Saccharomyces cerevisiae S288C: one gene and its partner. The gene in region 1 interacts genetically with each later gene. Each region holds a gene or a part of one and is shown in the gene's direction. Other genes may lie near its edges.

Region 1 (3,059 bases):
TAATCTGTGTGAGGGGAATTCGTAGTCTTCCAAGGTTCTTGCTTGACGAACGATTCCATGTGGAACTTCTTCTAAATCAGCAATCTGATATTTCTGAACACCTCTAGTTTCTGATTCTGTGGTTGAATCTGAACCGTATCTCTCCTTGGATCTAAAATCCGCGTCATCATCTTCGGAAGACACTTCTGCGGAAAGTGGTTGAAAGTCGTCTTGGTTCAATGGAATATGCTGATGTTTTTTATCATTGCCTTCTTTACGACTGTGATGATGGTGATGATGATGCTTAGGATGCTTTTTCTTCCTCTTAATATTAAAAGGTGCATCTATAGAGGAATTCGCATCGGCTAAGACGTATGGAATAATTGGAATAGATTTGGGAATTTTAGATTCCGGGTCGGGTGGAGGAATCAATTCCTCGTCTGCAGATGGCGGTTTGAAATCCGGAGCTCTTGTGGGATCCATGTTTCCTTTTTTTTTTTCTATCCCTGGTATAAGTAATTGACGCAACAGTTTTTTTTTCCCTTCCAAATTTTTCTAATTTGTTATACCATGCAGATACAATAAATGTTGATGAAATTCTAAATTAGGTGAAGAAATTCCTTTCTGCAAAAAATGAAATGAATTACTGACTCTATTAACTATGAGAAAGCGTACCTACAGAAAAAACAACGGTATCCCATTGTGAAATGGGGGGAAACTAAAAAGATATGGATAGCGAATCTTCGAGCAATAAAGTTCGTAAATCTTTGTAGGTGTTCTATCCTACGTAAGCGGATGCAGCGCAATTCCAGCCGTCTTCATCGTCATTTTTCACCCGGTAGAGGCAAAAACAGCGAGTGCTAAAAAAAAAACCGGATTTTTTTACGCCGAATGCGGGAATTTTTATCCGCTTTTGTCATGGAGTAAAGAAATTAAAAAAAGCGTCACAGACAGGATTCGAACCTGCGCAGGTAAAACCCAATGCCTAATTGCTTTTCTGAGGAAATAGCAGGCATCGCCTTAACCACTCGGCCACTGGGACGGTTGAACAACGATCTAAAAATGAATCGTTATATTGTCCAAATTTTGTGTCACATCAAATGCCCATTTGCGCATTCCTATATCCTCGAGGGAGAACTTCTAGTATATTTTGTACCCCTAATATTAACACCGAATCGACAATGAAATAAACGGAATAGCGCAATTTCTGCAAATTTTTACAGTTCATCAACAAGATACATATCTTTCATGACAGCTCCTAAAACGACTCTCATGAATGGTAGTACACCTCACGAAAAAGCGTACCAAAACCGCACACAATAAACGGACTCGAACTGTTATGATCTCGTATTTTCTTGTGCCCCGGGTCTTACTTCGTCGTGAGGGTGGATGAGCCATCACAATGGGCATTTAGCGTTTTGGTGCAAGAGCGGGAAGAGGGGCGGCAGTTGGTTGCAATACCAAAAGCAAGTGACTCACTACGGTCCGATATTATCTTGCCCTTTCCATTCTCATACGTATGTTTTTTTAGATTATGCACCTTCTTTGCCACAGTAAATGTGGCGGGGAAGATGTTGAGCTAGCGCCGTGCACAGTGGAAGAGACGGAGGCGATTGTGGGGTTTCATCGGATTGTGCGGGAAGAAGGCCTACACCGTGTTGAGCCACCCCCCCCTCAGGAGTAAATTTACACAAACAGTGGTGGTGCCTATGGTGGTATACGAGATAGTGATAGAAGCTGCTGGATTGGGGTAGAAATTTTGTAGGCGTTTATGGATATGGTATGGATATGGTATGGCTTGAGGTAGGTAATCCAGACACCACTGGAAATATATATAAGGAGAGAGTTCTGGCAGGTAGATTTGTACTCCTCTCTACCACTTTCTTCTACTCCTTTTATTATGTAATGTTTATTATAAGCACAGCAAAAACGTTAAATAAATCTAATAAGATTTCATTATAACATAACATTAAAGCACACAAATTTCTAACACAAACACAATTCAAACATGACCAGAACTAGCAAATGGACAGTCCACGAAGCAAAGTCTAACCCAAAGTATTTCACCCATAACGGCAACTTTGGGGAGTCTCCCAACCACGTCAAGAGAGGAGGCTATGGGAAAGGCAATTGGGGCAAGCCTGGCGATGAGATTAATGACTTAATCGATTCTGGCGAAATTAAGACAGTCTTCAACAAGACCAGAAGGGGCTCTAACTCCCAAAACAATGAAAGAAGGCTTTCTGATTTGCAACAATACCACATCTAACCGACCCGACCGGTTTGATTCCGTTAGCATATTTCAAAGAAACGGGCCTTTTAATGATTTAACGACCATATAACTTCAATAACGTGTATGCATATATAAAATGATCATGTCAAACATCCTTTATATTACTTCTTAAATACATGTTTACGATAAAAAATAAAATTTACATTATAAGTTTTTGATTGCCCATATTTGTTGATAAGAATGTAGCCTTACCGTGGCCGGTTTGTTCACCTGTAACCTCTTTGGGGGCGACCGTTAGTACTGCGCGTGTATGCTGGTGCAGGTGGAGCTGTCACAGGCGGTCTGTTATACATTTTACTATTATTTCTGTTTCCATTCACATTTTTGTTGCCACCAACTACTGGAGGTGCAGTATTGGCATTGGAATGTTTCTCATTTTCTTCTTTTTGATGCATGAGCTCCGCTTGCTTTCTTTCCAATGCCCTTTTTCCAACAAAATTGTAAACTATAGCTGCGTTTCTCGTGGAACATGCGTGCAACCATGCAAAAACACTTCCCAGAATAGGAACTAAACTAATAAGTAAATCGATAACGATATTACCATGCATCTTCACCTTGATTTCCGCAGGCAATTTATACCTGTCATCTGCCAATTCAATCAACTTATCATGCACCCAATACATCAATAAGGGTCCTATAACCGGTAGAAGTGCAAGTAATGGTGCCCATCCTATAGTGTTTGTCCAGCAACAGCATCCGCACAGTGATTTGTCATGCAGCCAGGCTTTGTTTTGGACCTTTTTCCACGCTTTACTTTCATCCTTAGTGCAATAATATGGCAGTCTGC
Region 2 (3,655 bases), on another chromosome or scaffold:
ATTTTTCATAGGCTTTATATAAAAAACAAAAAATAATGGAATCAACCAACCCTTATAAACTTATATGTAGTTTACATTTAATCAAGGTCTGTTATCGTGGCTATTGCTCTAATTCATTATTTGTCGACATGTATTGGTTGATAATTTTTGTTTTGGTTCACGCGTAAGAATTTTTTTTCTTGTAGTTGCCACGTGAAACCTGACAACTTATAGTCTTTAAGGGAAGAAAGAAAGCCATTCTTTGAAGTGATTTTACTGCTTTCAAGAGTGAGAAACTCCTACATCAACGCCTAAGGAAACTCGTCATATTCTACCAAGGATGATCTCTGTCATGGCGGATGAGAAACATAAGGAGTATTTTAAGCTATACTACTTTCAGTACATGATAATTGGTCTATGTACGATATTATTCCTCTATTCGGAGATATCCCTGGTACCTAGGGGCCAAAACATCGAATTTAGTCTTGATGACCCCAGTATATCAAAACGTTATGTACCTAACGAACTCGTGGGCCCACTAGAATGTTTGATTTTGAGTGTTGGACTGAGTAACATGGTCGTCTTCTGGACCTGCATGTTTGACAAGGACTTACTGAAGAAGAATAGAGTAAAGAGACTAAGAGAGAGGCCGGACGGAATCTCGAACGATTTTCACTTCATGCATACTAGCATTCTATGTCTGATGCTGATTATAAGCATAAATGCTGCCCTAACAGGCGCCTTAAAGTTGATTATAGGAAACTTGAGGCCTGACTTTGTTGATAGATGTATACCTGACCTCCAAAAGATGAGTGATTCAGATTCTTTGGTTTTTGGCTTGGACATTTGCAAGCAGACTAACAAATGGATTCTATACGAAGGCTTAAAAAGCACTCCAAGCGGACATTCAAGTTTCATAGTCAGTACCATGGGCTTTACATATCTTTGGCAAAGGGTTTTCACCACACGCAATACAAGAAGTTGCATTTGGTGCCCTTTATTAGCTCTAGTAGTAATGGTTTCAAGGGTTATCGATCACAGACATCATTGGTACGATGTTGTCTCTGGAGCTGTTCTAGCATTTTTAGTCATTTATTGTTGCTGGAAATGGACATTTACAAACTTGGCGAAAAGAGACATACTTCCTTCACCGGTTAGTGTTTAGTAACACTTACAGAGTCCTATCAGGAAAGAATAAAAGCCGATCAAGCTTCATTCTCAGGTAACAACTGGAGCACTGGCGAGCTTTGCTCTATTATATAAGATAAAATATGCACTAAAAGTTTGCATTTCTTTACATAACTAAAACTAAGACATTATGCATAGCTTACCTGATCAAAAAGTATGTAAACTTGTTAACATCTTCACATGTGATTCATCTGGTCGTACTTTCTTGCGGTGCAGTGTAATATTTCTACCCACGTGACTATAATTGAGCTTGAAAACTGTGGCGTTTTTCCACCGATGGGTCCACGCCAGATATTAACCGAAGCCAAAATACCGATGAAATTTCTGAGATAGCTCTTGTAAACGACGTCAAATCTTCATATGCAAGGAGATCTTGATTTCTTTTTGGTAGTCATCTGTCGTCTTGAGGCGTATAAGAAGGAGGTTATATCTGTCCTTTCTACAAAGTATTTTCGAGAATCTTGCTTCTGCCCCTTTTTTCTTTTTTTAAAAGGTTTAAAAAACATAACTGTCTTCAATATATCCAGTATTTACGACAATATACAAACATAATCATGTCCAAGAGCAAAACTTTCTTATTTACCTCTGAATCCGTCGGTGAAGGTCACCCAGACAAGATTTGTGACCAAGTTTCTGATGCTATTTTGGACGCTTGTTTAGAACAAGATCCATTCTCCAAGGTTGCCTGTGAAACAGCTGCCAAAACTGGTATGATTATGGTTTTCGGTGAAATTACCACCAAAGCTAGACTTGACTACCAACAAATAGTAAGAGATACCATCAAGAAGATTGGTTATGACGATTCTGCCAAGGGTTTCGACTACAAGACATGTAATGTTTTAGTAGCTATCGAACAACAATCTCCAGATATCGCTCAAGGTCTGCACTATGAAAAGAGCTTAGAAGACTTAGGTGCTGGTGACCAAGGTATAATGTTTGGTTACGCTACAGACGAAACTCCAGAAGGGTTACCATTGACCATTCTTTTGGCTCACAAATTGAACATGGCTATGGCAGATGCTAGAAGAGATGGTTCTCTCCCATGGTTGAGACCAGACACAAAGACTCAAGTCACTGTCGAATACGAAGACGACAATGGTAGATGGGTTCCAAAGAGGATAGATACCGTTGTTATTTCTGCTCAACATGCTGATGAAATTTCCACCGCTGACTTGAGAACTCAACTTCAAAAAGATATTGTTGAAAAGGTCATACCAAAGGATATGTTAGACGAAAATACCAAATATTTCATCCAACCATCCGGTAGATTCGTCATCGGTGGTCCTCAAGGTGACGCTGGTTTGACCGGTAGAAAGATTATTGTCGACGCTTACGGTGGTGCCTCATCCGTCGGTGGTGGTGCCTTCTCCGGTAAGGACTATTCCAAGGTCGATCGTTCCGCTGCTTACGCTGCTAGATGGGTTGCCAAGTCTCTAGTTGCCGCTGGTTTGTGTAAGAGAGTCCAAGTCCAATTTTCATATGCTATTGGTATTGCTGAACCATTGTCTTTACATGTGGACACCTATGGTACAGCTACAAAATCAGATGACGAAATCATTGAAATTATTAAGAAGAACTTCGACTTGAGACCAGGTGTGTTAGTAAAGGAATTAGATTTGGCTAGACCAATTTACTTACCAACCGCTTCTTATGGTCACTTCACTAATCAAGAGTACTCATGGGAAAAACCAAAGAAATTGGAATTTTAAACATTTAGACAATAAATGTTTTATTTTGATTTTTATAATTATTTCAATCCCTTTCTTTATGCTAGGCTGGTCCCGATCACCTCCCTATATTGAGAAGACGATGCCTTATCGTTTGATTCGCTCAACTCGAGTCATGTAATTACTAGAAAATGATACAATAGAAAAGTTTTAAACATTCTTAAACTTGACAAACACCAATAGAATAACATCTAGGCATAATGATCTATTTTGTATGGATTATGTATTAGCTCCTTCAACGGAAATATATAGAAAATATTACTTTATGTTTTTAGAACTTTTTGACGAGTTTTACCAGTTTTTTTCATGATGCTCCACGTGGTAATATGACTATGCTATGGAAATAAGGTTGAAATATAGAATGTCTTTGAGGTTATTTGGTCGGCCTCTTCCAGAAATACTGTTTATGTTTCTTCCTGCACGACCTTAATCGGCTCCTGCCTTTTAACGAATTATACAAAATCTTTCTCTCGTCGCTATCATCGTTTTCAACATCATAGTAATACTCGTCTTCTAATGGCTTGCCAGACGCATCTTTTCCTTCACGCACAATAATACCAATGCAAGAAATAGTCTCCAAGACCTTTTTTAGTTCATCTTTGCTTAATTGTGAAGTGTTGGAATTGATGTTTTGCAATTGGGATAAAGGCGTTTGTTGAAGGTTAGAAAATGCAAGATGATTACATAGCACATGAACTAGGTCATCAAACCGAATTCCTCTTTCTGAGAGCGACCGAGAAATTTCGGGAATAATATTCAAT

What was found.
Region 2: mutations in TMA10 (region 1) and SAM2 together harm fitness more than expected from each alone (negative genetic interaction), as found in Saccharomyces cerevisiae (one large-scale study listed by BioGRID).

Annotation. Positions count from the first base shown.
Region 1 is NC_001144.5:782,316-785,374, reverse strand, and holds TMA10 (Tma10p), read left to right. Parts: upstream 1-1,987; coding exon 1,988-2,248; downstream 2,249-3,059. Other genes in the region: nicotinamide-nucleotide adenylyltransferase NMA1, read right to left, coding at 1-462; YLR326W (uncharacterized protein), read right to left, coding at 2,479-3,059. UniProt on the Saccharomyces cerevisiae protein: May be involved in inhibition of the reverse ATPase reaction of mitochondrial F(1)F(0)-type ATP synthase.
Region 2 is NC_001136.10:1,452,531-1,456,185, reverse strand, and holds SAM2 (methionine adenosyltransferase SAM2), read left to right. Parts: upstream 1-1,721; coding exon 1,722-2,876; downstream 2,877-3,655. Other genes in the region: phosphatidate phosphatase LPP1, read left to right, coding at 320-1,144; PLM2 (Plm2p), read right to left, coding at 3,268-3,655. UniProt on the Saccharomyces cerevisiae protein: Catalyzes the formation of S-adenosylmethionine from methionine and ATP. The reaction comprises two steps that are both catalyzed by the same enzyme: formation of S-adenosylmethionine (AdoMet) and triphosphate, and subsequent hydrolysis of the triphosphate.